7 linked regions of the Macaca fascicularis genome follow. The protein of the gene in region 1 interacts with the protein of each later gene in a pairwise test. Links are inferred from orthologs where the notes say so. Each region holds a gene or a part of one and is shown in the gene's direction. Other genes may lie near its edges.

Region 1 (3,706 bases):
CCACCTCAGCCTCCCAAAGTGCTGGGATTACAGGCGTCAGCCACTGCACCTGGCCATATTACATCTAAACTGCATGGATCAGAGCTGGATTTGTATGGGTTCACCATTGTGACTAGATCCCTGGCACCTGAAGTATTAGAAACCAACGAGGCACTTAATAAATGGTGAACTGTTGGCTGGGCGTGGTGGCTTACGCCTATAATCCCAGCACTTTGGGGGGCTGAGGCAGGTGGATCACCTGAGGCTGGGAGTTTGAGACCAGCCTGACCAACATGCAGAAACCCCGTCTCTATTAAAAATACAAAATTAGCTAGGTGTGGTGGCATGTGCCTGTAATCCCAGCTACTCAGAGGCTGAGGCAGGAGAATTGCTTGAACCCAGGAAGCGGAGGTTGCAGTGAGCCAAGATCGTGCCATTCCACTCCAGCCTGGGCAACGGAGCGAGACTCCCATCTCAAAAAAAAAAAGGTGAACCGTTAAGCCAGACAAGTCCCCACAGAAGATTGTTTTCCTTGTAGTTTTTTCATAGTTGTAAAGAGCTTTTTATAAATGCTCTTCTTGGAAATTTTAGCTATAACTTATTAATAGCAAAAGCTTTTTTAAGCTGAGTTTTTGAGAACTGAGATGTGTAGGTGTAGCTGCTCCAATGCCTTTAGCTGCCAGTAACAACACACCGACTTGAGGTGGCTCAGCAGTGAGGACTTTTGTTCTGTCCCACAACGGGAGGAATGGATGCAGGCCGGGCTGGGCCCCAACAGTCCTGGGGGCTCAGGCACTTGCTGTGGCCTGTTGAAGAAGCCTTTCTCAGAATCCCCCAGGAGAGCTTTATGAAAATGCCAGGGCCAGCATCCTAGCCCTGGAGAGACTGGCTTCATGGAGCTGGCAGCCTTCGGTGTTTTAAATGCTCCAGTCAGTGCTGATGGGCGCCCATTGAGATCTGCTGGCTGGGACAAGGCAGAGCGCATGCAGCTGGCCCTGGGGTCATCTCCCCAGACTTGCTTGGCTGTGTGGAGGAGGAGGAGCAGATGAAACAAAAATTAGGGGCCTGTGGAAGGCAGAAGGGTGCAGTGGAAGGGGTGGGGGTAGTGAGGTAGGTTTCCTCTTCCTCAAGCTAGAAGGGGATTTCCTGAGGACAGACACCAAGCAATTTAAAAACTGGCCTGGAGAGAGGGAAGAGGAAACAGACGTCGTGGGTGTTTCTCTGGGCCAGGCACTTGGCTTCTCAGTCATGACTTTGTTCGTTCTGTTTGTTTGTTTGTTTTTTAGACAGGGCCTCCCTCTTTCCATTTCCGGCTTTTAGAGCTGCTTCTGCCTTCCCTGGCTCCTGGCTTTCTCCCGTCTTCAGGTTCCAAAGCGCATCACTCCAGTCTGCTCTTGCCACCACAAGCTTTCTTCCCTCTCCAGTCAGTCAAACCGATCTTCTAAGGATGCTTCTGATCATCTGGAGGGCTCTCACCTATAGTCCTAGCACTTTGGGAGGACAAAGAGGGAGGATCGCTTGAGCCCAGGAGTTCAAGACCAGGGCAACAGAGTGAAATCCCGTTCCTACAAAAAATAAAAAAGATTAGCCGGGCATGGTGGCATGTACCTGTAGTCCCAGCTACTTTGGGAGGCTGAGGTGGAAGGATCGCTTGGGCCCCGGAGCTTGAGGCTGCAGTGAGTTGTGATATGTCACTGCATTCCAGCTGGTATGACAGAGCAAAACCCTTTCCCAAAAGAAAAAAAACACCCCTATCCAGCACTTCCTCTCACCCTTTCCTCACCATCCCGCTGATAGATGGCACCACTTGGAGATTTTTCGGTTAGACGTTACCAACATCAAGTCAGTTTGGACTGAAGGGAAATGTTTGGCCCATGGGGCTTCTCGGGGGCTCTTTATCTGTTCCCCACCCCATCCATCTCTGGTGGGGCTCATGGTCTCCGGTGATGTCCCAGTGTCTGCAGGTGGTTGAGAAGGTGTCCAAGGGTGGCCCAGGTGCAATCCCCTGCACCACACTTAGAGGCGAAGGAGGCAGCTGCCTTCTGAGCATGGAGAAAATCCCAGGGGAGGCTCTGATTGCCTGGCTCGGGTCTCAGTTTATCCTCGAGCCAGTCACTGTGGCCAGGGGCATCTGTGCTCTGAGCACATGGGTTTCAGACCCTCCCCTGAGTTAGGAGGGGCACGTCCTCTCCTGCTCTTAGAGAGTACAGGTGTGGGCCTGGGGGACCTTCAGCAGCCCGTATCCTGCCATCCAGCCTGGGTTCCCTGCCCCATCTCTCTCTCTCACGTCCAGAGAGGCCCTCAGGGTGGCAAGAGCTGATCCGCTCACACCCCGCTAGAGTCAGCCAGGGAACCTTACTGGGTCCCACGCTGGGAGCAGGTCCTACAGCTGTTCTTCTGTGTCCTAGTCCCGCTTGTGGCAGTGCCTCAAATCTGATCTCCTCGGGCTGAAGTGGGTCCAAGGTCCTGTTCTCCCGCCTCATCCTCCAGAGTGGGAACTTTCCACTGTGCTGAATGTGGCCATGCACGTCCCTAGCACCCCGACTCCTCGTACCTGACCCCTGGAGCGTGCATTTGTGCTTCTGGATCCTTCTCGATGTAGCAGAGTCTGGTTTAGGTTACACAGGACGAAGGGGGGTTGCTGCATGGTATCATAATCCCATCCCACCACCCTCCAAACCAGCCGTGCCCAGTCATGCCACTGGGCTTGCCTTTCCAAAACTGCCATCTGACAGTGTCACTTCCTTTGCTTTAGAAATATTCCCGAGGTCGCAGACGCCAGCGGATTTGCTTTGGGAGCCAGAGTAGCTGCCGCCACCAGAGTCCGGAGCCATGAGCGGGTTTAATTTTGGAGGCACTGGGGCCCCTACAGGTGGGTTCACATTTGGCACTGCAAAGACAGCGACAACCACACCTGCCACAGGGTTTTCTTTCTCCACCTCTGGCACTGGAGGGTTTAATTTTGGGGCTCCCTCCCAACCAACCACAAGTACCCCTTCCACCGGCCTGTTCTCACTCGCCACTCAGACTCCGGCCACACAGACAACAGGCTTCACTTTTGGAACAGCAACTCTTGCCTCGGGGGGAACTGGATTTTCTTTAGGGATCGGTGCTTCAAAGCTCAACTTGAGCAACACAGCTGCCACCCCAGCCATGGCAAACCCCAGTGGCTTTGGGCTGGGCAGCAGCAACCTCACTAATGCCATATCGAGCACTGTCACCTCCAGCCAGGGCACAGCACCCACTGGCTTTGTGTTTGGCCCCTCCACCACCTCTGTGGCTCCAGCCACCACATCTGGAGGCTTCTCATTCACTGGTGGAAGCATGGCCCAGCCCTCCGGTTTCAACATTGGCTCAGCGGGGAATTCAGCCCAGCCCACCGCACCTGCCACTCTGCCCTTTACTCCGGCCACGCCAGCAGCCACCACAGCAGGCGTCACGCAGCCAGCTGCTCCCACAGCCACAGCCACCACCACCGGTACTGGGCCCACCCTCTTTGCATCAATAGCAACCGCTCCAACCTCGTCTGCCACCACCGGACTCTCCCTCTGTACCCCTGCGACCACCGCGGGAGCCCCCGCTGCCGGGACACAGGGCTTCAGCTTAAAGGCACCTGGAGCAGCTTCGGGCGCCTCCACAGCAACATCCACCACTGCCACCGCCGCGGCCACCAGCAGCAGCAGCAGCACCACCGGCTTTGCCTTGAATTTAAAACCACTGGCGCCAG
Region 2 (4,152 bases), on another chromosome or scaffold:
ACTGGAGGCTGAGGCAGGAGAATCGCCTGATCCCAGGAGGCAGAGGTTGCAGTGAGCCGAGATCGCACTACTGCACTCCAGCCTGGGGAACAGAGCAACACTCTGTCTCAAAAAAAAAAAGAAAAAGAAAAGGCATTTGTCAGTTTGACCGGCATTTCATTAACCAAAGAGAGTCACATGACCCAGCCAGCTGTCAATGGATTAAAGGAATCTAATCCTGCAACTGAGAAATGCCACAGATCACATGGCCAGGTCTGATGAAGGAGTGAGAGGTATAACATCTTCACATGGTGGGGAAGCAAATATTGAGAACAATTCTACAATGTGCTGCACTGAGAGAACAGTGGGTGCAAAGCTACAAGCAAAGAAAAACCCCAAGAGCTAATGATCCTAGCTGGCTGGCTGAGGTTGCCTAGTTGGGAAGAGTGGGAGATGGAGCTAGAAATACACACCATGCCCACAGTGATGAACTGCAGAGACCCTTCTCAAAATAAATTAAAATTGACCCATCTCTTGAATCAAGTCCTTAGATAAGAAATGCCCTATTTTTCTTGTGCTCATAGAAAGAGTCTTTGGAGCACACCCTAGAGGAGACCAAAGCCCGTTACAGCAGCCAGTTAGCCAACCTCCAGTCGCTGTTGAGCTCTCTGGAGGCCCAACTGATGCAGATTCGGAGTGACATGGAACGCCAGAACAATGAATACCATATCCTTCTTGACATAAAGACTCGGCTTGAGCAGGAAATTGCTACTTACCGCCGCCTTCTGGAAGGAGAAGACGTAAGGTAAGGCTCTTAGAATCAAGGAATAGGTGTCAATGTCTGTATGCACTTCTATTTTAATGTCCCTGTCACTCGTTACCCAGCACCAATGCAATCCCTAGGACAGAAGTAATTATACTCACACGCACCTCACCACCACCAACAAAACGAAAATATACCAAAAAGTAGACACACGCCCAAAATATCAAGTACAGCCTTGAGATCATGTGATAGGACTGAGTTAGAAGATAATTCTCCAAATGATAGATTATGCTGATATTAATTTTCATCATTAATATATAACTGAAGGCATAACAGCCTTTTGGAAATTCTAATTGAGAGCTCATGAATTAGAAAATAAGTTGCTGAGGTCCACGGGAGCCAGAATCATCAGTGTGGCAGCAGCAACTGTCTTCAGATACCATACCTAAGAATATCAACAAGAGAACACAAGATTTAAACTTACATTGTAATTTTGTTACTTTAATTAGAGGAACTTCTTAGCTTATATTAAACTGGTCAGTTTTAAAGCTATGTATTTTTCAAGTTAAAAAGTAAAACACTCAAGTTTGCAATAACAAGCAATGTAAAAGGGAAAGATACATGAAAGCATTAAAACACATTCACTTGGACTTTGAAATATAAAAGATAAGAGTGCATTCCATTTTCAAAACAGCAATAATCCTTTTTTCTGTTTCTTTTTTCTTCTTTTCATTAAAAAAAAACAAAACAAAACAAAACAGAACTACAGAATACCAGTTAAGCACCCTGGAAGAGAGAGGTAAGTTCTAAATTTTTGCACATTTTCTATGACACTCAGCTGCTTTCCAATAACTATCTCCCATGGATAAAAAGTAAAGTGAGGCTGTTTCAGTCTGTTTTCTGCTCCTGTAATGGAATACCTGAGACTGAATAATTTACTAACAATAGAAGTTTACTTGGCTCACAGTTCTGGAGGCCAGAAAGTCCAATATCAAGGTGCCAGCATCTGGTGAGGGCCTTCTTGCTGCGTCATCCCATGGCAGAAAGTAGAAGTGCAAAAGAGTGTGCATGAGAGCCAGAGAGAAAAAGAAGGCTGATCTTGCTTTTATAACTAGCCCACTCTCACAATAACTAACCCATTCCTATGGTAACCACATTAATCCATCCATGAGGGCAGAGCCCTCATCATCTAATCACCTCTTACTAGGCCCCACCTCCCAACACTGTTACATTGGGGATTAAGTTTTCCACACATGAACTCTAGGGAACACATTCAAACCATAGCAAAGGCCAATTCTCAAAACAGCAGATATGACACCAGGGATTCTAAAAATCTTGTACATGGCATAAAGAAACCCTCTATGTGGGAACTTGGGCACACTCCTCAGAACGGGGTGATTTTCTTGGCCTGTGCTATTGCTATCTTGAGACATCTGAGATCCTGAAAAGGAAAAACAAGACAAAATCTGAATTCCACTTAAATTCAAGATCATTTATTTCTTGAATTTATAAGAGTAGGATATTTGTAAATTTGGGGAGAAGCACATTTTCTGTATCTATTTATAAAATGGACTTAAGATTTTTTGAGAAAGAGGATGGGTTTAACATATTTTTCTAAAAGAAGGAAATAAGTAAAAAGAATAATAATTTAAAGTTGAATATTATAAATCAGTAGAGTCATGTGCCTGAATTAACATTTAATGTTTAATATGAATTCAGATATAAAGAAAACCAGGAAGATTAAGACAGTCGTGCAAGAAGTAGTGGATGGCAAGGTCGTGTCATCTGAAGTCAAAGAGGTGGAAGAAAGTATCTAAATGGCTACCAGAAGGAGATGCTGCTTAGGTTTTGAAAGAAATGAGGCTATAATCTTATCTGCTCCCTGCAAGAAATCGGCCATAAGAAAGCATTATTAATACTTTGCAGTGATTAGAAGGGGTGGGGTGGGGGAAATCCTATTTATCAGACTCTGTAATTGAATATAAATATTTTACTCAGAGGAGCTGCAAATTGCCTGCAAAAATGAAATCCAATGAGCACTAGAATATTTAAAACATCATTACTGCCATCTTTATCATGAAGCACATCAATTACAAGCTATAGACCACCTAATATCAATTTGTAGGTAATGTTCCTGAAAATTGCAATACATTTCAATTATACTAAACCTCACAAAGTAGAGGAATCTATGCAAATTGCAAATAAACTGGTTTCTAATTTTTTCCTGTTTCTGAATTGTAAAACCCCCTTTGGGAGTCCCTGGTTTCTTATTGAGCCAATTTCTTGGTTAATCTCATTGATTTTTCAGCATCAGTACAACTCTACAACCTTTGAGCTATCTCTGCTTTTTCCCATTGTTTCTACTGCCTTTTAAAAGTCTACACAGCTCTTTGAATAATTTGAGAGTCAAATTCAATCACAAATGCGGAGCAGAATAAGAGTGAAGTACACTATACTTAAAATGTAAATAGATTAAAAACATTACCAAAACCCTTCTCAAGGCAAAATGTGTCTCCTTTTGATAGTAAGCTGCATATACTATCAGGTGCTCTCTTTTTTAATATATGGTGAACATATATTTTTAATGAAATTTTTTAAAATAACAGCTTTATTGAGACATAATTCACACACCATGAAATTCACCCTTACAATGTGTACAATTCAGTGGTCTTTGGTATGCTTAAAATATTTTGCAACCGTCACCACTACCTAATTTTAGAACATTTCATCATCCCAAAAGGAAATCTTGTACCTATTAGTAGTCACCCCCCATTTCCCTTCCTCCCAGCCCCTGACAACCACTAATCTACTTCCCCTCTCTACGGATTTGCCTACTCTGGACATTTCGTATAAATGGGATCATATGATGTGCCCTTTTATACACAAATGTTCATAGCAGCATTACTCATAAGAGTCCCAAAGCAAAACACCTCAAATGTCCATCAACTGATGAATGGATAAACAAAATGTAATATATCCACACAATAGAATCTCATTCGTCAATAAAAAGGAATGAAGTACTAACACATGCTATAACAGAGATGAACTTGGAAAATATGCTAAGTGAAAGAAGCCAAATCCAAAAAAAAGAAAAACACACATTGTAACCTCACCCTTTCTGCATTTTAGTGAGCAATCATTGCATATGAATGTGTATGGGAAAAAATCAATGTGCGCTAAATCATCGTAGTCTAGTAAATAGATTGGACTTAAAACTTGATACAGAAGTTGTAAATAAGTGGGAGTGAGTTTGATTATTATATAGAAAATACTTACATGATTCATTTAAGAATAATAATATCCACCATTTATTGAGCACTTACTATGAGCCTGTGTGCCAAACATTTCATGCATTTCTCATTTAATTTTCACAATAATCCTGTGAGGTAGAAGCTATTAGGTTGAATCAT
Region 3 (4,888 bases), on another chromosome or scaffold:
GACAGACATGATCATTAGCTTCCTGGTTTTTGCTTATTCTGGTATCTTCCTTTTAGCTATTCAAATATATTTGTACCTCAAGATCCAACTTAAGGTCCCTATCCTCCATGAAATCTTTCCTTATCACCTTAACCTACTAGTCTGTCTTTTTAAACTCACCTAGTACTTATTTTATACCAAATATTTAGCTCTTTTTATATATATTAATGAGTGCTGATCACTGTGGTCATGTTGTTTCTCGAGTTTGAATATAAGCATCTTGAGCTTTGAAACAGTGTCATCATTGTACAATGGAAAGGGCACATACTTTTGAGCTCAATAAAGCTTGGGTGTAAAGTCTCTCTCCCATTTACTTGCTGTGACTGGGGACATTAATCAACTTTTGAGTCTCAGAATCTTCACTGGGAAAAAGGGATAATAAAACCTAATTCATTGGATTGTTGTGAGGATTCAATAATATATGTAAAGCCCTTGGCATATATAAGGGCTCATCAAATACTAGTTCCTCTATCACATGTATGCCTCCATATATCTGATTTTGCTTCAGCCAACATCCCAGTGCTGAACACAAAGGCAGCATTCAATAAATATTTGCTCATTGGAAGATACCCTCTCTATATATGTATTTTTAATGTACTATTTTACATTTACCCAAGAAGTAAACCAATCCTATGTTGAATTTTTGTATAATGTGTTGGCTCTGACTTGTTTGTTTTTACCTTCACATGCTGACCTCTGTAAAAAAAAAAAAAAAAAAAAAAGTCGAATTTTGTAGACTTCATATTTTCAAAGCATTTGCACAGCCATTATAGCATTAAAGACACTCTTAATGGGTAAAAAGATCTTATTCCCAATCAAGAAATGGGAAAAAGTGGCACTGGTGGCTAAGGAATTGCTCTAAGTGACAGTACCAGTGTATTTTAATATACAGAAAAACGTTCAAGAGGCTTTATCTAAACTCAGATCTACTGACTCCTTCTCCATTTTTTTTTTCATTATACCAATCTCTCAGGCTAAAAAGAATGTATCTGTAAAGTATACGCAGGAACAACTATTTTAATTAACTAAAATAGTATAAACAGTCTATTTCTTTTTATTCTGGGTGTAGAGTATGCACTTGATGACTGGATTAAAAACAGCACATGATACATCAATTGCAGTTCCTGGTTTACAGTTTTAAGTAATAGACAGTGAGTTATTTAAACTGCTCTTTTTGATAAACATATTTTAAAGAGGGCTTTTTCTCCCAATGATAATGTAAGAACAAGGTTCATTATTTTTAAGACAATTTCAATTCGGGGCCTAGCACATCACGCTTGAGAGCTGGTTTTTTCCTTCTGCGAATGGATCTTCTCTAAACTGGTGCAAACCACACTTTGCCTGCCAAACTTATGACTCAAAGGCCCCGAAGGGCTTTTTGTAGCCTCCCAGCCACAGCCCAGAAACCATAAGCTGTTTCCACGTGAAACGTCCAAACACGGTCTCCCAAGCCGAAGATCCGCTACCATCAAAGCTTCTGTATAAAAGGCAAATGAGAAGGCAGCGCCCCCTTCTGCTCCCACCCCCTTCTGCTCCCACCCCCTTCATGTCAGCAGCAGCCAATCGCTTTTCTCCATCGTGTGGTCGGCCCCTGGGATTGGCCAGGGACGGGACCGGCGCGGAACCACTGCGCGCACAGGCGGAGCGCGGGGACTTGTCCGTCACGTGCGGCCGCCCGGCCTCTCTGCCTCGCCGCGCGCCTGGCGGGGTTGGGGGGCGGGGACCAAGATCTGCTGCGCCTGCGTTGTGGGCGTTCTCGGGGAGCTGCTGCCTGAGCTGCTGCCGCCGCTACCACCGCGTTCGGGTCTAGAATTTGGAATCCCTGCGCCGCGTTAACAATGAAGCAGAGTTCGAACGTGCCGGCTTTCCTCAGCAAGCTGTGGACGCTTGTGGAGGAAACCCACACTAACGAGTTCATCACCTGGAGCCAGGTACGGTCAGGCCACGGCGGCCTCTGCACCCCCTGAATAACCGCGTCCTCACTCGCTCTCCCGCGGGGTGGTCTCTCGCGGCCTTGCGGCTCGACGCTGCCTGCGAGGCCAGCGGTGCGGGGCCTTGGTGTTCGGCCTCGCGGGGGACCCCCTGTATTGTTCGCTAGGGGAGCCGCGGGGGCCCGGCCGGCAGCGCCGCTCGCCTCAGGCCGCGGTGGGGGAGGGGCGGCCCGCGCGGGGCGTAGCGGCCCTGGCAGCCCCTTAACGGTCTGGTCCGCGTTCGGAACCGGCCCGGCGTCGCGAGGGGAATCGGCGAGCCGAGGGCGCGGGAGCCTCTTTACTGCACACTCATCCTCTGTCCTCCTGCCCGGCTCAGGGGTTACAAATCGCGGAGGGGACGGGGAGTCCAGGGCCAGGATCATCGACCTGGGGCTTTACAGGAGGCGATCTTTACCTCAGCGACCGATCACCCCCTCCCCGTTCCCCCAACACTGCTTTGCATCTGGGATCTTTATGTGGAGAGCAGTCAGGGAAATATATATTCAAACGCAGATTACTGCTTATCAGTTGGTTTTAAAAATATATAGAAATTAACACATTCTTTCGAGATTCTGTGCTATTTGTATAGTCGGATTATTAGGATTGTTTTAATAAAGTACTAATAGGTGGTCAGTAACTTAGTAGTTACTAAATTTCACTGAACTGTTACCAGCAGAGGGGCATATCGATGTGTTGATTATTGGTCTGATCTCAACTCTGCTTGTAAACAAGGATGACCTTAGTCCAGCCCCTTTTCTTGTCTGGCCTAAGTTAAATCCGTAAGATGGATGGGTTGCCTAGGTGACCCAAGACCTCTTTCAGTTCCAAATACAAGATTCTAGGCAGAATGATTATTTACATCCACACTACCTTTACATTAGAATACAATCCTAGGCTGTTGGAATCATTTTATGAAGGGAAGTGGTTAACCCTTATTGTAGATGATCACCTATTGAGGCATATTTTCATGTGTGTAGTTCTTGAGAAGAGTAAGTGAAAACTACCTGCATAGTGCCTGGCACCTGTTAAGTGCTGAGTAAATGTTATCTCCCGTCCTCCTTTCTTTCCTGTTCTCCTCCTATTATAGGAACTCTCAGTTTTATTTACTTTTATCTTAACAGGGAGTGAGCACCATATTAAGACCCTGAAGTTTTGACTACTGTAATACCATAGTTTGCCTTGTGTTATTATTTGTTCTTTTTTCTAACTTCCTTCTAGGGTTTAATTTTTGTGTGTTCCTTATGAGCAACTGAGTTATCCTTTTAGCCCCACTCCCTGCTTGGAGTTGAGTGCGGGGAGGTGGTGGGGCGGGGGCATTGTGTGAGTGTATTAAGAATTTAATGAGTTCTGTACAATTGTACAAAGCTAGGTGAAAATAAGAAAGCCAGCCACTAGCATGTACTTAAAATAAACACATGTCTCATGCTTTTCATCAGTTAGAAGGATTAAAAGTTGACAAGAAGGGTCAGCACAGACTGTCATTCAGACATGTATTCGTGTTAGAGATCGGACTGAGATTCTCTCCCCACGAAAGCTGACTTTATCATACCTTTTTGTCTTTTACAGGCCAGAAATAGGGGCCATATATATTGGCAGTTGCTTTTAATAAGAGTATCATGCCAGTCGTAGGCCTGTTAAATTCTGATTAGTAACTGTTTTAATAGCATTCTTATTTTCTGAGCAGTGTCAAATGTGGAGAGTTTTGTACTGATCCACAAATGCATCATTCTGTGAGTTCTAAGCCAAATAAGCCACTTAACCATTTTTTAATCCCATTACTAACTTTAAGCTTATGTGTTAACTAATTTTCTAATATGCCTATGGGACAATCAAAATGTAAGCTCAGTGAGATCACTGTGGCGGAGACACAGTAGATGTTTAATAATTGATGAATAAATGAGATCCCTCGAAAATGTAATGGAGTGGTAGGAATGATGAAGGTAAAATTATGTTTGAAATGAATCTTAGAGATCATCTAGGTTAGCCTCATCATTGTATAGATGAGGATTTGAGGCTTGGACAGGTGAGATTATTTATCCATAATTATACAGCTCGCCAAGATTGGAGATGAGACTCTAACATAAGCTAGTCCAACCCGAAGCCCACATGTGGCCAAGGATGGGTTTGAATGCGTTCCAACACAAATTCATAAAGTTTCTTAAAGAAATATGAGATATTTTTGCAGTTTTGCTTTTAAGCTCATCAGTTATCATTAGTGTTAGTGTATTTTATGTGTGGCCCAAAACAATTCTTCCAGTGCTGCCCAGGAAAATCCAAAGATTGGACGCCCCCACCCTAATAGATTTCTGAGCTCCCAGATCAGTCTTCCACCAATAGAACTAGACAATACAAGTTGACATCATATTTAGTTTTATACCAAAATGTTGCTTGCCACAAGTCAGTGGACAATTCTGAATAAATGTTGTCTAGGGCTAAGCCTAGTTGCTTAGTTGTCTCACTCGTGCTCTCCATTAATTTTTCTAAAAGCAGTGCTAACACTGAAAAGTAAAACTTTAACAATAATGTTAGGTGGAAAAACCAAAATAAGTTACTTTCATCTTTCTCTTTTCTTTGATGAATAAATGAAATCCCTAGAAAATGTAATGAGAGTGGTAGGAACGATGATATAATAGTCCTCAGCAGGCTTTGAATTTCTAAGTGGCAGAGATTATATCACATTCTTTTTTTTTTTTTTTTTTTTTTTTTTTGTAGTAGAGTATCACTCTGTCACCCTAGAGTACAGTGGCACGATCTCAGCTCCCTGCAACCTCTGCCTCCTGGGCTCAAACGATTCTTCTGCCTTAGCCTCTTGAGTAGTTGTGATTACAGATGCACACCACCATGCCTGGCTAATTTTTGTGTTTTTAGTAGAGAGGGTA
Region 4 (2,988 bases), on another chromosome or scaffold:
GGCTTATTGCATAGCTTGTGGTCTGCCCTGGGGAGCCAAGGACCAAGAGCCAGAGAGATGAGAATCAAGATAAAAATAGGTGAACTACCACCTACCAAGTAGATGACTACACAGGAATTGATGTGTGGGCAAGTTGAGCCGTGTGTGTGTGTGTGCGTGTCTGTGTACACTGAAGACAAGGGCACAAGGGGTTCCAGACCTCCCTGCATTTGAGCTCCATGCCTTCTCTTAGCATACACACAGCCTCCCAGGTACCAACAGTGCTCTGCTTGGAAAGTAAACATGCCATAGCAATCCTGGCACCTCTGTGAAGTGACTTAGATGCTCACGTGCACCACCTACAGCGCTACCTGAGTGATGAATGTCTCTGGGATGTGAGTGTCAGCTGAGCATGTCTGTTGGGAAATGGGCCCCTCCCAAGAGCCTGAACCTGAATACTTGTTATAAAAAGGTTCTCTGGCTGGACACTGCTCAATCCACTGCCTAGCAGGTGGCCCATTCCAGCCTGAGAACGTAGTGAGTCTTTCAGTGGAGCCAGGGTCCGGTAAGTCTCCTCGCAGGGTCTCGGGGAGAGGGTGGGATGAGTTGAGGGCACAGCGGAGGAGAAAACAGAACACAGGCAGCAGATAGATGCGGAAGGGGTGTCCTACAAGGCACCTAAGCTTCCAGTGAGCCAACCTCTTAAGGTACTAATGAGGACATGAAGGCAACACAGGAGGTGGCTTTTGCAAGGGTACACAGCAAGTCCACAGAAGAGCTGTGACTAGAACCCAGGTCTTTCAGCTCCCTGGATGGGGTTATTTATATTGGCACAACTCTCCTTTCCCACATGGTTGTGGGGCGTGAGAGGCATAGGCAAGAAAGAATGATCAGGACCTGCTTCTGGCATGTGGATTATTTAGATCCAGCAGGTGGGACCGCGTGTTGGACTTGGGTGTTTTCTAAATGATGGGGTGTAGTAACTAGGAAGATACAAATCGAAGGTCGGTAGGAAAGTAAAATGAGGAAGAGGAAAAAAGCCAAGTGGAGATTTTGGACTGGATCATACAGATAAGCTGCCGCAGTGTGCTGTCTATTTTCCACTGTGGAGAACTTGAGCAGTCTTCTTCTAGTCAGAGAAAATGGAAATGCACTGATTCATTGCATAGATTGTGTCCTGCTCTGAGCATGTTTAACTCACTGGAAGCCCCTGCTTGGATTTGCTTTTCTATGTCCCGCTCTTTCTGGGTACTTTTCCCCCCTTGTCCCAGGCCGGGCTGACTTGTACACTAAACCGAATCTCAAAAGCCTAGACAGAGTTCCACTGGTGGAAAGAAAAAGCCGGCTCGCCTTTAAAAGGCTGCCTTTCTTCCAGGTTCGTCGTGAGGAGCTCCGCGATGTCCTCTCAACAGAGCGCCGCTTCCGCCAAAGGCTTTTCCAAGGGGTCATCCCAGGGCCCCGCTCCGTGTCCTGCCCCTGCGCCCACCCCGGCGCCCGCCTCCTCCTCCTCTTGCTGCGGCGGCGGCTGCTGCGGCTCCGGCGGCGGCTGCTGCGGCGACTCGGGCTGCTGCGGCTCCAGCTCCACCAGTTGCTGCTGCTTCCCAAGGAGACGCCGCCGGCAGCGGAGTAGTGGCTGCTGCTGCTGCGGGGGCGGCAGCCAGAGGTCCCAGCGCTCCAACAACCAGAGCTCAGGCTGCTGCTCTGGCTGCTGAGAGACCCGCAGCCCCCAGCGCTGCGCTAGAGAAACCCGCCCAACCCAGAGCGAGCCCGCCCCGCTGCGGCTCCCACGCGGGGCTGGGCCTCGCAGTTTGCCCCGTAAAGCGAATTGCACTTTGATGTTCAGAAACCCACTTTGTTCTCAGCCACGCAAAACTCCCTGACTCCGATGTGATTTTTCTCCCCAGGGATTCACGAACCATGCGTGGAACACTGGACCCTACTGTCTGCACGGGTTTGCACACAGCAGGTGCTCAGTAAATGCCTAATGATTTGATTGTCTTTTGAAGATGTCATAATAAAGCTTCTACCTCCTTAGAACACTTTTTCTTATTTGTTCTTCATTCGTTTCTCCGCCCAGGTAGAAAGACTTGAAATGTTTGTGAAAGGCAGAATAGTATAATTCATGCCTGAACAAAAAGATGACTTTCTGATTGTTAATTATGATAGCAGCGATCAGATATCGACTGTTTCGAGGATTTTAATGACTTTACGTGACAAAGCTCTTGAGTATTCTCAGGACTTTATGTGGCACAATCTGATTCTCATAATGACTCGTGTAGGAGAGTGCTGTTATACCCTTTTTACAAGAGAAACTGAGGTTAAGTATAATTTGTTCAAAGTCACCCAGCTGACGCCTGATAAAGAAGACAGGACATCTGATTCCAAGGCTTCATTGCTCTGCTGGGTCCTCACCTGGGCTTCCCAAGCCTTACCACCGAGGTGCTCCTCCTGACCACCGGGTTCAGGCAGCTGTGTGGCAAAAGTGTGTTTTGGCAACTCTTGGGGGCTTTGGAATCAAGCCAGCTGTCTTTTTTTATTTTTTAGTTTTACGTTTTATTTTATTTTTTATTTTTGGCGTGGAAGATTATTGACCTACTGCTTTGCTTGCTGGGGAGGAAATTTTTCCTAAGATGTGCCTTCCAGGAAAGCTGGAAACTACCCTCTCCAGGTCTCATTTGTGCAGCTGAAGCAGGACCAAGAGCCACGGGTTTCTGGGAGTCTCTGTGGTGCAACATGTGTGCTCAGAAACGTGGGGATCTCATTCTTTAGAGATGGTGGCTGTGGCAGCGGCAATGGGTGGGTCATTTTGCATAGGTCAGAAACCTATCCCTGTGGGCAGAGGTTTTATCCGCTCATTTCACGCACCAGGAAACAGGAGAACAATATCCTCTGCTGGGTTCAGAGGGAAGAGATAATCATGGTGATAATAATAGAAACACTAGTTACCATTTATTTGGCACTAACTTTATTTCAAGTACAAGTCAAGGCACTTTACATATATTATCTCAC
Region 5 (4,152 bases), on another chromosome or scaffold:
GACATTTTATTGTTCACTGGGTCACGCAGATCTTCCAAATGTTACACATTACATTATGTGGAATCAAAAATTCACATTCATTAGTATCGTCACAAGTCTGTCAAATCAGAAATGGCTTTTAAAATATTGGGAAAGTCCAAGTGCAGCAGCTCACACCTATAATCCCAGCACTTTGGAAGGCCGAGGTGGGCGGATCACGAGGTCAACAGATTACGACCATCCTGGCCAAAATGGTGAAACCCCGTCTCTGCTGAAAATACAAAAAATAGCCGGGTGTGGTGGCGCACACCTGTAGTCCCAGCTACTCGGGAGGCTGAGGCAGGAGAATCATTTGAACCCAGGAGGCAGAGGTTGCAGTGAGCTGAGATTGCACCACTGCACTCCAGCGTGGCGGCAGAGCGAGACTGCGTCACACACACACACACCCCAAATAAAATCTTGGGAAAATGTTTAAGTTCATGATTGTTGATACAGTTTTCAAAAACACTAATCTTTGCTTTAAAAAATCAGATTTTATTATTGGCAGCAAATATATCATCATTGATTTTCCTTGAAGTGACAAGTTCACTTTGTTCATTTGCAAGAAAATGTCTGCTGGTGAAGCAGGTTTCAGATAATCAGTTTGTCAGTAGTTCTGCCAAGTAAAAATAGTGTTCCATGAGCAAAGCTCTAGTTCATTTTGCAACTCAGTTGTACTGTACTTTTTCCTGAGAATTCATAAAGCAGCAGAGTGCTTTATGCATACTTTCCCTTTCATCACAAAAAATACTTTTTAAAAATGCACTAAAGGCTCAAGATAATTAATAATTTTTGCTGCTTCATCAAGGACATCTTAAGTGGAACTCCCTTAAAAAAAAAAAAACTGAGTGGAGAGTGTAATGACTATTGGTATAGTTTGGTGCCTCTGCCTTGATTTGTGCTAATAATGTGCCAGCAGTTTTGTTCACCTTTGTTTTTGTATTCTGATTGCAAATATCAACACAGTGAAAAAGGCAGATAATATTCTAGTATTGCTATGAAAATACCTTTGATTTCACGAACCTCCAAAATAGTCTGTGAGATCCCCAGAAGTCCAGAGACTACACTTTAAAGAAAACTGGCTTAGTTGTTTACGTATGTTTCCTTTGACTCCCAGACCACATAGATCAAGGGGGGGGATCAAACAGAGGCAAATGACTGGGGTTTTTAGCTTGGTTACTAAATAAAAGCAGTGCCATTACCTAAGATAATGAAACAGGATGCGGAGTAGTGTGCTGGAAGGAGGAAGTGAATTCCGAGCTTCAGGTGGCTTGAGGAACATAGAGGTATGGGAATCTTAATATTAGTGCAGCTCAGAAGTTTTTTCTTAGGGTTAGGTAACCTCACCATACTAGTGGTTTTTGAGAGAGAAGAGGGCAGAAGAGACCTTGTGCAGCACCAACATTTACGGGTCCAGGAGGAAGAGAAGAGGATGATAGTACAAGGACATCAGGAAAGAATTAGAAGGATATCGGTATTGTCCAGTGCTTCAGAGAAGTCAGATAGAATGGGGACTGAGCCTTGACCATTGGATTTGGTAATAAGATTACTGGTAACCTTTGCCAGAGCAGTAGGGGATGAAATCCAGATTATGGAAGAGTGAAGAGTGCAGAGACAGTTATTTATACTATTCTTTAAAAGTTTTGGGGTAAAGGGAGAGATGTTGGGCAATTAAATATGAGAGAGAGGCTGTACTGAGGACAGAAGATACTTAAGTAAATTCCTAGGCTGAAAGGAAGAAGCTAGTAGAGAAGATACTGATGAGCACTTTGATCTGAAAGAAAAGAAAACTGATGAAACAAGTTGGTATTACAGATGAGGTACAGTTAGCTCTGTAGTATAATCTGTACTTCTAGTGAAGTGAGAAGCTGATGAAAACTGGATTCCCTGGCCAGAGAAATGCACAGACCTGTGATATTTGGCATACTTTTTTTTGTGAACACGGGAATTCCATACTAATTTTTTCTGTTTAATTATTGTTTAGTTTGATGTGTCTTGCTTTAAATCCATTTATTTCAACAAAAATTTTTTTTTTTTAATGCAGATGATTTAATTTTAACAATCTGTGATTTTCTCCGAATCGAACTTGTGTTTTGGCAACTTTCAGTCTGTAGTAACAAATGACAAGAAGAAGGGTGCAATTCTTTCTCTTGTGCAGGGATTTTGCCTCCCCCTTTCTTTCAGTTGAAAGATATTTGGGTCTCTCGAATAACTGGTACAATTAGCTCCAGAGTGCTTTCTTTCTGGAGGCAGTTTAGACAACAGCACTCAAGTAGTGCTTTTGTTAAAAATATATGTGTTTTTAAATGTGCTTGTATTTCTAACATTCTTTTCTCCTTTCTCTTCTAGTCTGTTCTCTGGGGAGGCAGTAAGGGGCCGTGGAGCTGGCCTCGGCCTCGGCCTCGGCATCGGGAGAGGCTGGACTTCCTGTCTCTCTGTGCTGAATGGCTGCGATGGCGCCCGCTCTCACTGACGCAGCAGCTGAAGCACACCATATCCGGTTCAAACTGGCTCCCCCGTCCTCTACCTTGTCCCCTGGCAGTGCCGAAAATAACGGCAACGCCAACATCCTTATTGCTGCCAACGGAACCAAAAGAAAAGCCATTGCTGCAGAGGATCCCAGCCTAGATTTCCGAAATAATTCTACCAAGGAAGACTTGGGAAAGCTGCAACCACTGGTGGCATCTTATCTCTGCTCTGATGTAACATCTGTTCCCTCAAAGGAGTCTTTGAAGTTGCAAGGGGTCTTCAGCAAGCAGACAGTCCTTAAATCTCATCCTCTCTTATCTCAGTCCTATGAACTCCGAGCTGAGCTGTTGGGGAGACAGCCAGTTTTGGAGTTTTCCTTAGAAAATCTTAGAACCATGAATACGAGTGGTCAAACAGCTCTGCCACAAGCACCTGTAAATGGGTTGGCTAAGAAATTGACTAAAAGTTCAACACATTCTGATCATGACAATTCCACTTCCCTCAATGGGGGAAAACGGGCTCTCACTTCATCTGCTCTTCATGGGGGTGAAGTGGGAGGATCTGAATCTGGGGACTTGAAGGGGGGTATGACCAATTGCACTCTTCCACATAGAAGCCTTGATGTAGAACACACAACTTTATATAGCAATAATAGCACTGCAAACAAATCTTCTGTCAATTCCATGGAACAGCCGGCACTTCAAGGAAGCAGTAGGTTATCACCTGGTACAGACTCCAGCTCTAACTTGGGGGGTGTCAAATTAGAGGGTAAAAAGTCTCCCCTGTCTTCCATTCTTTTCAGTGCTTTAGATTCTGACACAAGGATAACAGCTTTACTGCGGCGACAGGCTGACATTGAGAGCCGTGCCCGCAGATTACAAAAGCGCTTACAGGTTGTGCAAGCCAAGCAGGTTGAGAGGCATATACAACATCAGCTGGGTGGATTTTTGGAGAAGACTTTGAGCAAACTGCCAAACTTGGAATCCTTGAGACCACGGAGCCAGTTGATGCTGACTCGAAAGGCTGAAGCTGCCTTGAGAAAAGCTGCCAGTGAGACCACCACTTCAGAGGGACTTAGCAACTTTCTGAAAAGCGATTCAATTTCAGAAGAGCTGGAGAGATTTACAGCTAGTGGCATAGCCAACTTGAGGTGCAGTGAACAAGCATTTGATTCAGATGTCACTGACAGTAGTTCAGGAGGGGAGTCTGATATTGAAGAGGAAGAATTGACCAGAGCTGATCCCGAGCAGCGCCATGTACCCCTGTGAGTAGACCTCATGCATGATAGCATTCTTGAGAAATGTTGGCGCAGGGAAGAATGAATGAATCCCTACCATGGAGAGAATATGATTCTTTGTACATAGGTGTCTAGGTTCCATTTGTTTTTTTCCCTGGTGTTAGGTAGGTGAGTGCATATACATGTTAGTGAAGAAATGGAAGATATTTTTGCTGTAGTGTTGTGGTGTTGTAGTCTAAATGGTGGTAATTTCCTTTTGAAGTCTTATTAAGAAAAAAAACTAGGAGACATCTTATGTGTAAAATTGTACTAGTACCTCTTTAAGAGTGAATAATTAGATTTCTTTTGAAACTATATATAGGACATGACAAGTTAATGGCCTGATTGTTCAGATTTTGTTGTTTCCAGTAAGCAGGGACAAATGTTGA
Region 6 (4,871 bases), on another chromosome or scaffold:
CCGAGAGGCCTACATTGGGCCCCCAGGTCAGGACAGGACAGGATTCCCTTTAGAACCACCACACTAGTTTTGTGTCTGGCTGCCCAGAGGTGTGTGTCTTGTTCCCTGTTGTCTCTCTCCAAAGCAGGGCCTGACACAAAGTAGATGCTTTATTAACTGCTGAATTAATGAGTGAGCTCCTCAGAGATTCAACATGTTCATCTTTTTAAAAAGAGAAAATAACACAGTAACACCTACATCATGGATTTTGCTTTAAAAGTTCAATGAGGCCAGGTGTGGTGGCGTGTGCCTATAGTCCCAGCTACTGGGGAGGCTAAGGTGGGAGGATCCCTTGAGCCCAGGAGTTTGAGGCTGCAGTGACCTATGATGGCGTCACAGCACTCCAGCCTAGGGGACACAGCGAGAGACCTTGTTTCTAAAAAATAATAATAAAATTAAAAGTTCAATGAAATAATACACCTAAAGCCCTCAGCATGCAATAAAGAGCAATACAAGGCGGGTCTTATTTTTACTGAAAGTGCTTAGTAAACTATACAGTGACAAACCACGCACAGCAGGCTCTCAAAAGGAGGCAGCAAATTACCCAAAAGTGCAGGCGGCTTGCTAGTGTGCACAGGTCAAAGAAAGGGCGGCAGGTGGGGAAGGCAGCCGTGGGCCCTGAAGAGCTGACCGAATTGGCAGAATTTCTGAAGGAGGGGAACTGGGAACGACCTGAGCTAAAGCTCGGAGCTGTGAGAAGAAACCGGAAAAGCCCGGAGCACTTGCAGGGGCGGGTGGGGAGTTGGATGGTGGTGTGGGGTAGGGTGGGGAGGGAGGAGGGCTAGTAGGAGACATTCCGCAGGGAGGGGCAAGCACGTGTGAGGCGGGCGGGGCGCGAAGGGTCAGGCTTTTGCTCAAAACAGGCGGAGGACAAGGTCAGCTCAGCCGCAGACCGAGCCCCTGCTGATTGTCTCCGCCACCGGGCAGTGAGAGTGAAGGGAGAGCGCGAGCTCTGAAGCCTGCTAGACCAAGCTTGCAATCTGAGCCCCATTCACCCCCTCCTATTTCTTGAGACCATGTCAGTTCCCCTCTCAGCCTCGGGCTCCTCACTTGTAAAACGAGGAGAGATGCCTGTGCCAGAAGTCAACCAGAGTTTTTCTCGGCATGGGCACCAGCCCAAGGGCGTTTTCCTTTTCTAGTCTCATCTCTGCTCTGAACCCAAGCTCAAAGAGGGACTGGGGGACGGAAGATATCCATGCCATGCGCCCTAGCTCTCGGGCTGGTGCCGGCTGCTGCCTTCTCAGATTCCAGAGTGCCTAGAGGCCAGGAAAGGGAGAAGGTCCTGCCAGACTAGGGTAGGGACTCGGGGGCCAGGCACTGGCGCTGACGCAGGCAAGCAGGGCGCCACTGGCTGGTCCCCACCCACCTCAGTGGGTTGGGGGATGGGCGGACCAGCCCCTCCTGGGTGAGCCCTAGCCTGGGGCTTCCTATTTCGGGAGCTGGGGGCGTGGGCCACGTCTCCTCATGTGATGCGAGGGCTATTTAAAGCGGCAGCCCGGCCAGGGAGCCGCCGTCGGAGCCCTTGCACGCCTGCTCTCTTGTAGCTTTTCTCAGCCTAGCCCAGCATCACTATGGTGGACGCTTTCCTGGGCACCTGGAAGCTAGTGGACAGCAAGAATTTCGATGACTACATGAAGTCAATCGGTGAGCAAGCCGCGGGGCTCAGGATGCTGGCTTGGGCTGGTAGCATGCCTAGCCCCATGCAGCACTCCTGCTGCATCCCTCCTGGTTAAGACTGGGGAATACGGGAGCGCGGAGATGGCAGCCTGGGCTAGGGCAGATAGGGCCTGTAGGGAGGGGGCTTTGGTGGTCCAAATCTGGTTAGAGACCACGGTAGGGAGGTGGAGGAAGGAGGCAGCTGTGTGGGAGGCTCTTTCTAGGAAGAGGGATATATGAATTGGAGGAAGGAGGACGGTTTGGAAAAAGAACACTGATCACAGGAAGGGGAGTCTAGCCAGGGGAGAAAAAGAACACGGGCATGGGTAGTTTAGAAATTGGAGGAGACTGAACCCAGAAAGGGAATGGGGCAGCTAGGGCGTGTACTATGACCTTAAACAAGTAGGAAATACCTAGGAGGAAAAAGATTAGTGGGGAAAAAACCGTGGATCAGTGAATCAGATATGAGAAGGACATAAGACAGGAACCTGCAGTAAGCAGCAATCCCCATCTCTCCATGTTGGATTTGGGGAAAGAATTGTTGTAGGAGAATGCCCTCTTTTCTCACCAGCCAGTCTGACCTTGCCCTGCAGTCTATGTAACCAGGCCTTAATCACTGTCTGCGAGCCTTGGGGTAGGGTGGGGCAAGAGGCCCATCACCAGCTGGGCCTTTCCTGCAACCCAAAGCTCACCCACCTGTGCAAGGGGTAGGCAGAGAAAGCCGTTGGACTTCTGATGTGCAGTAGAGGGTCCCAGAGCAAGGTCAAGACCTGGGAGGGAGGGTCACTGGTTTAGGAGGATGTGGAAAACTGCTGTGGTGTTGGGATGGAGAAGAATAAGGATTTAAAGAATCTTACAGGTGAGGAATTTGGAGATTCCCATACTATCTAGTTCAGCAGGGAAACTGAAACCAGGAGAGTAGAAATGTATAACAATTCCACAGCAGAGCCAATATGAAAACCTAAGGTTTCTAGATCTGTAACTCAGAGCTCTTCCCACTACCCTACAGGCCCTGGGAGTGGGAAAAGTAGGAACTGCTTAGCTAATTATTGACCTCAGCCCTTCTTCTACTGCTTTGGGCTTAGATGGAGAGGTCAAAGCTCTCAACAGCCCCTACCCTATCCTGGGCGCTATGCCCAGTAATTCCAGGTAGGCAGTCATTCTTAGAGGACCACCCCCCAACCCCCACGAACACAGCCCAGCAGCTACTGGGAAGTTGGAATGACCAGATTTAGTTCCTCCTTCTAAAGCTGGGCCAGAGCTGAGTCCTTGAACTGAGCTGCAACAACTTTACCATTCTTGTTCTCTTATTCTGCCCTAAGTTGGGTAGGCAGGCTGGTCTCCCTGAAGTCCTGTTACCTTTCAGAAGCTTCTGTTAAGGCAGCCTGCATTCTTATCGTAGGAATGGAAAGCCTGGGAAAATACCCTCCTCAGCTCTCAGTAAATAGTGCTGGCTTCATTTCTAAGTAGAACCCAGATCTCCCTGAGTCTCCTAAATTCTGTCAGCTCAATATTCTTAGTTTCTCTTGGTTCAGACCCTCACTCATACCGCAGTGGTTTCCTTTTCAAACACTCCATACCTCTGGGTAGGTCCTAAGTGAACAGAGCTCCCAGTGCTGTGACAAGGTCCTGCTCTATGCAGGGGAGCGTGATTGGCCTGACTCATCCTGATACCAAGGGGCAAGGCCAAGTTCCTCATTGGCCAAACAAAGGTGGGCTGATAGCATAATGGCAGAGGCAGCCCCTGCCCCTCCTGCTATAGACCTAGGGCTCTCAAGGGGCAAAGAGGTCCCGTCTAGTACCAGTGACCACAGGCACAACTGGTGGCCTGGACTGAGTATGTGCTGGGCAGAGTCGCCCAGTGAAAATAGTCAACAGTTTTGGAGCCTAGATTCAAATCTATGTCAGTTTATTCTGTTTGAATTTAGACAAGACACTTCACTCTCTTCATTGTAAATTGGGGATAATCTACGCTTCTGGGCTGTTACAAGCATTAAGTAAAACCCATGTAGGGCATGTGCAGAGTACCTAGCTTCCAGCAAGCACTATGTAGCCAGGTACATTTGGAGACTTTACACACACCACTTCACTACACTGGGCTGCCTCCTGCCTCACCTCTGCCTTGGAGGACAGCTCAGTGTAAACTGCTGTGGGGAGAGGGGGCAGTCATGATTAGTTCTTTGTTCTTTACTTGTTTGCAGGGCACTTAGGACTTTGCCCAGTACCCAGGGAAGCCATGCTTGGGTCAGGAAGAGAGTCTCCGTAGAGCCTTAGACAGGGAGTCAGGAGACGGGTTTGAGTCTAACTCATTGTTGCTACCGCTTTAGGCTCCTCCTCAATCTGTACAATAGTACAAATACTTCCTTTGTACCTAACTCCTAGATCATAGATAACAGGCTTTGAAAATGATGGGTTGCCATATATAAGGGACAAGAGCACTAACACTTCTTAGTTTCAGGATAAAAACTTCCAAAGTTGGAAAACTCTTATGCCTAAGGCTTTGGAAGGGAAAGTCTACGTTTCTCTTCTTTCCTCAGCCTTATGCTCTAGCCTTGGGAGGTAGTATAGCTGAGCACTTAAGCAAGCTCTGGAGTCAGACAATTCTGGGCTTCAATATCAGATTTGTGACCCTGGGCTTTACCTCTCTTTTTGCATCTGTAACGTGGAAATAGTCTTCAGAGGAACAGGAAGAACTAAATGAGATAACATGTACAGTTCTTACTACACAAAAAGTTCATAGTACTTTTTTTTTTTTTTGAGATGGAGTCTCACTCTGTCGGCCAGGCTGGAGTGCAGTGGCACAATCTCGACTCACTGCAACCTCCACCTCCTAGGTTCACGCAGTTCTCAGCCTCAACCTCCTGAGTAGCTGGAATTACAGGCACATACCACCACATCTGGCTAATTTTTTGCATTTTCAGTGGAGACAGGGTTTCACCATATTGGCCAGACTGGTCTTGAACTCCTGGCCTCATGTGATTCACCTGCCTTGGCTTCCCAAAGTGTTGTGATTACAGGCGTGAGCCACCACGCTCAGCCCAATAGTAACTTATTCTAATCCCAGCTCTCCCACTGACTTGCTATGGCACCGCTGTTCCTTAAGTATCTCATCTGTCTAATGGGATCAGTAATCTGTGTTCACCAAACAGAACAAAGGGCAAGACTGAATTTTAAAA
Region 7 (4,152 bases), on another chromosome or scaffold:
ACACTTTGTTATGAGTTACAAGTTTAATTCCAGCTAGTGTTATGACAGTGCAGTCTTCGGACACAGTGGGAACTGAGTGTGAGAATCATATTAGTAACAGAAGATTGGGCAGATAATGAAAAGTAGTTTTGACAGTTAAATTTAGTGGACGTATTGGAATTTAGTAGTCTCTGAAAATGCTACCCTCTTTTCTCTGAAACTGAAAAGTTGCTTATTTGATTCGAGGAGATACACACTTAAAACTTAGTTTTAAAAACATGACACAAAATACATTAATAGAATGTTACATACTTAGTTACTTATAGTAACAAGTAGATAATGCCTTTTAAAAATCGTAAAGGTTTGTGTTTTAAAAAAACTTTTTTTTTTGCCTGATATCTGGAATATGTCTATTTTCTGATTTGTCTAATTCAAAATGGAAAACTGTTGCTTTTTAGTGTATTATGTTAGTTTTGTATACTATATACGGAATGTTATGCTAAAAATAACAATATGAAGGGAACACTTTTCTTCTGGAGTAGTGCTTTCAAATAAAAAGGAATGTTTGTTTTTAATGAATTGAAAAAATCTGTACGTTACCCTGAGCGTCTTGAATTATTTGCTGCTTATATAGACATCCTTTAACATAAGTTTTATTCTTTTTTTCAACTCTATTCTTTGGTTAGTGTTAAGCACTGAATATCTAACATTAAATACTCTAATACCTTTTCTAATCCTGCCTCATATGATTGCCTCATTAATGCTGCCTCTTACTCCTCTTTCCCCTCAGCCCCTGCTGGCTCTGCTGGCACTCCTCCCCTTCCTGCTACTTCTGCATCTGCCCCTGCCCCTCTTGTTCCTGCTACTGTCCCTTCCTCCACTGCCCCAGACGCTGCTGCTGGGGGTGCCCAGACCCTTGCTGATGGCTTCACTTCTCCAACTCCCCCTGTTGTTTCTTCCACTCCCCCTACAGGTAAGTATTTGCTTATTAATTGGCAGGCAGATCCAGTCATCTGGCTATTCTCTTACTTGCACCTTTGATTTTTTTTTGTTTTTGGTTTGATTGTACTTCGTATTAAAAAAAATAAGAATAATGTACTAAGAAAGTCTGTGACCAGAGATTAGCATTTCCTGAGAAAATTGAGGTAAAGTTTCTCATACATTTTTCCAATAGGGTAGCATAAATTTATGTTCTTTTATTGCTTGAATTTCATTTATTAGAGATTTTTAAGTTTAATGTGGAGCTACCTTATGTACAGTTTTTGGAAATTGTCATTAGAAATATTTTTATTACAGGTTAAATGATTAACAAAAGTCTATTATAATAATTCTAAGGTATATTTTATAGGAAATATTTGATACAACAAATGGAAAGCCTCTGTAAGTCTGTTTTTAACAGAATCTGTTGCTTATTATAGCAGCATTGGAAACTCATAGACAATGTACTTGTAAAGAATTTCAGGTTTATCTAAGTTGGCTAGTGTTTTAAAATTGCAATCTAAAATCTGTTTTGATTGGGGAGGAGATAGACTCAATTGCTACAAAATGTATTTGTACAGTTAATGATGCTGGCTAGTAAACAGGTTCTTATCTGCTATAAAATATATGTGTTTGGACATATATCACTGTATTAGTCTGTTCTCACAATGCTATAAATACCTGAGACTGGGTAATTTATGCAGAAAAGAGGTTTAATTGGCTAACGGTTCTTCAGGTTGTACAGGAAGCATGATACTGGCATCTGCTCGGCTTCTGAGGAGGCCTCAGGAAACTTACACTCATGGCCTGAAGCAGAGGGGAAGCACACTGGTCACATGGCCAGAGTAGGAGCAAGAGGACAAAGTGGGAGGTGCTACACACTTAAACAACCAGATCTCATTATTGCAAGAACAGCTCCAAGGGGGATGGTCCTAAACCATGAGAAACCACCCTTGTGATCCAGTCACCTCCTCCCAAGCCTCACCTCCAACATTGGGGATTACAGTTCAACATGAGATTTGGGCAGGGACACAGATTCAAAGCATATCAATCACTATAGTGTTCCACTTGCCAGTAAAGAGCTTCATAGCATTTACATTCAGCTTTGCTGTTATACATGTTAAACATATATAAGATCTTTACATGTTTTAAAAGACACTTTTAGCCAAAGTGGATTTTGGATGGTGTCTTATGGGATTCCTTCTATATGACTTTTAAAGAAAAGCTTTATGCAGTAGATAAATGTAAACATGGGCTGTTTTTTGATACAGATACAACTGTTAGGCCAAACTAACTAGTTAAATATAGGAATCTCCTTGTGCTCCGGCTTTGATAAAGAATGCATCGGAAAGGACAAATGACCCCCAACTGAGAGTCTATGTTTTAGTAATTAAGTATTAGTTGAGTAACAGGTGCCTGGCTCAGTGTTCACTAAATAAACGTTTGTTGTGTGAGGGGATAATTAACCGTGGTTTTTGAAACAGCAAGGTAAATGCCTTTTAATAATTTATATCAGGGTAGTCTCTTTTATACAGTATCTTGAGTTACCAAGCAATTTTTTTTCTTTTTACTAAGGGGTAACTTATGTACAGTAAAATTCACCCTGTATACCACGTATGTTTGTGAGTTTTGACAAAGGTGTACTGACACGTAGTTGCCACCACAATCAAGATATAGAACAGTCCTATCATCACAAAAATTTCCTCCATGCCCCCTTTTTATAGTCAATCCTTCCCCTCCACTCCCAGCTCCTGGTAAGCCGTTGATGTGTTTTTTGTCTCTAAAGTTGTGCCTTTTTAAGAATAACACATAAATGAAAGCATATGGTATGTAGCTTTTTTGATCTGTTTTTTTGGCCAGATGCATTTGAGAATTACCCATGTTGTTGCATGTTTAAGTATTTCATTACATTTTATTGCTTAGTAGTGTTGTATTGTATGGGGATGTACCACAATTTGTTTATCCCTTTCTCAGAGGACATTTAGATTTTTCCAGTTTTGAGTGCTTATGAATAAAGTTGCCGTAAACATGTACATACGGGTTTTTTTGTGCACTTGAGTTTTTATTTCATTCAGGTAAATACCTAGGGAATAGAATTGCTGGGTTATAAGTAAATTTTTAACTTTATAAGAAACTGCCAAGTTGTTTTCCAAAATGGCTGTATAATGACTAATGATATTGAACATTTTTTTCATGTGCTTATTTGCCATGTGTATATCGTCTTTGGTGAAATATCTGTTCAAATGTTTTGCTCCTTCTCATCCTTTTAATAGGGTTTTTTTTCTTATCATTGAGTTCTTTTACTTTCTAAATATATGTCCTTTATAGATTATGAGTTACAAATATTTTCTTCCATTTTGTGATTCGTTTGCTTATTTTCTATTTTTTTTTGGTGGGAGCGGGGGTGGGGGCGGCGGGAGGACAAAGTTTCACTCTTGGCATCCAGGCTGGAGTGCAGTGGCGTGATCTCGGCTCACCGCAACCTCCACCTTGCAGGTTCAAGCGACTGCCCAGCCTCCCAAGTAGCTGGGATTACAGGTGCCTGCCACCATGCCCAGTTAATTTTTGTATTTTTAGTAGGGATGGGGTTTCACCATGTTGGCCAAATTGGTCTTGAACTCCTGACCTCAGGTGATCTGCTTGCCTCGGCCTCCCAAAGTGCTGGGATTACAGGCGTGAGCCACTGGGCCCAGCCTGTTCATTTATTTTTTTTTAATTTTTTTATTTTATTTTATTTTTTTTTGAGACGGAGTCTCTCTCTGTCGCCCAGGCTGGAGTGCAGTGGCCGGATCTCAGCTCACTGCAAGCTCCGCCTCCCGGGTTCACGCCATTCTCCTGCCTCAGCCTCCCGAGTAGCTGGGACTACAGGCGCCCACAACCGCGCCCGGCTAATTTTTTGTATTTTTAGTAGAGACGGGGTTTCACCGTGGTCTCGATCTCCTGACCTTGTGATCCGCCCGCCTCGGCCTCCCAAAGTGCTGGGATTACAGGCGTGAGCCACCGCGCCCGGCCCATTTATTTTTTAAATGTATTTTAAATAGCAGAAATTCTTCATTTTTATTAAGTGTTATTATTATTATTTTTTTTAATGAATTGTGCTTTGGTGGCGTATCTAAGAACTCTTTACCTGAAGTCATAAAGATTTTGTTCTGTGTTTTCTTCTAGAAGTTTTTAGTTTCAGGTTTTATCGTTAGG

Evidence for each region.
Region 2: the proteins of NUP62 (region 1) and KRT20 interact in binary tests that used the Homo sapiens proteins (3 or more experiments, as listed by UniProt). The two-hybrid records come from large-scale screens. The link is inferred for Macaca fascicularis from reciprocal best matches to the Homo sapiens genes NUP62 and KRT20.
Region 3: the proteins of NUP62 (region 1) and HSF2 interact in binary tests that used the Homo sapiens proteins (3 or more experiments, as listed by UniProt). The link is inferred for Macaca fascicularis from reciprocal best matches to the Homo sapiens genes NUP62 and HSF2.
Region 4: the proteins of NUP62 (region 1) and CRCT1 interact in binary tests that used the Homo sapiens proteins (3 or more experiments, as listed by UniProt). The two-hybrid records come from large-scale screens. The link is inferred for Macaca fascicularis from reciprocal best matches to the Homo sapiens genes NUP62 and CRCT1.
Region 5: the proteins of NUP62 (region 1) and KANSL1 interact in binary tests that used the Homo sapiens proteins (3 or more experiments, as listed by UniProt). The two-hybrid records come from large-scale screens. The link is inferred for Macaca fascicularis from reciprocal best matches to the Homo sapiens genes NUP62 and KANSL1.
Region 6: the proteins of NUP62 (region 1) and FABP3 interact in binary tests that used the Homo sapiens proteins (3 or more experiments, as listed by UniProt). The two-hybrid records come from large-scale screens. The link is inferred for Macaca fascicularis from reciprocal best matches to the Homo sapiens genes NUP62 and FABP3.
Region 7: the proteins of NUP62 (region 1) and ABI2 interact in binary tests that used the Homo sapiens proteins (3 or more experiments, as listed by UniProt). The link is inferred for Macaca fascicularis from reciprocal best matches to the Homo sapiens genes NUP62 and ABI2.

What each region holds. Positions count from the first base shown.
Region 1 is NC_088393.1:57,892,810-57,896,515, reverse strand, and holds part of NUP62 (nuclear pore glycoprotein p62), read left to right. Parts: intron 1-2,734; 5' UTR 2,735-2,811; coding exon 2,812-3,706. UniProt on the Homo sapiens protein: Essential component of the nuclear pore complex. The N-terminal is probably involved in nucleocytoplasmic transport.
Region 2 is NC_088390.1:61,961,294-61,965,445, reverse strand, and holds the end of KRT20 (keratin, type I cytoskeletal 20), read left to right. Parts: intron 1-563; coding exon 564-784; intron 785-1,503; coding exon 1,504-1,541; intron 1,542-2,461; coding exon 2,462-2,559; 3' UTR 2,560-3,237; downstream 3,238-4,152. UniProt on the Homo sapiens protein: Plays a significant role in maintaining keratin filament organization in intestinal epithelia. When phosphorylated, plays a role in the secretion of mucin in the small intestine.
Region 3 is NC_088378.1:26,359,951-26,364,838, forward strand, and holds the start of HSF2 (heat shock factor protein 2), read left to right. Parts: upstream 1-1,774; 5' UTR 1,775-1,877; coding exon 1,878-1,970; intron 1,971-4,560; exon of another isoform or gene 4,561-4,746; intron 4,747-4,888. UniProt on the Homo sapiens protein: DNA-binding protein that specifically binds heat shock promoter elements (HSE) and activates transcription. In higher eukaryotes, HSF is unable to bind to the HSE unless the cells are heat shocked.
Region 4 is NC_088375.1:108,650,963-108,653,950, reverse strand, and holds CRCT1 (cysteine-rich C-terminal protein 1), read left to right. Parts: upstream 1-1,353; 5' UTR 1,354-1,376; coding exon 1,377-1,691; 3' UTR 1,692-1,993; downstream 1,994-2,988.
Region 5 is NC_088390.1:67,749,655-67,753,806, reverse strand, and holds part of KANSL1 (KAT8 regulatory NSL complex subunit 1), read left to right. Parts: intron 1-2,367; 5' UTR 2,368-2,462; coding exon 2,463-3,751; intron 3,752-4,152. UniProt on the Homo sapiens protein: Non-catalytic component of the NSL histone acetyltransferase complex, a multiprotein complex that mediates histone H4 acetylation at 'Lys-5'- and 'Lys-8' (H4K5ac and H4K8ac) at transcription start sites and promotes transcription initiation.
Region 6 is NC_088375.1:203,636,473-203,641,343, forward strand, and holds the start of FABP3 (fatty acid-binding protein, heart), read left to right. Parts: upstream 1-1,548; 5' UTR 1,549-1,610; coding exon 1,611-1,683; intron 1,684-4,871. UniProt on the Homo sapiens protein: FABPs are thought to play a role in the intracellular transport of long-chain fatty acids and their acyl-CoA esters.
Region 7 is NC_088386.1:99,290,429-99,294,580, forward strand, and holds part of ABI2 (abl interactor 2), read left to right. Parts: intron 1-769; coding exon 770-952; intron 953-4,152. UniProt on the Homo sapiens protein: Regulator of actin cytoskeleton dynamics underlying cell motility and adhesion. Functions as a component of the WAVE complex, which activates actin nucleating machinery Arp2/3 to drive lamellipodia formation.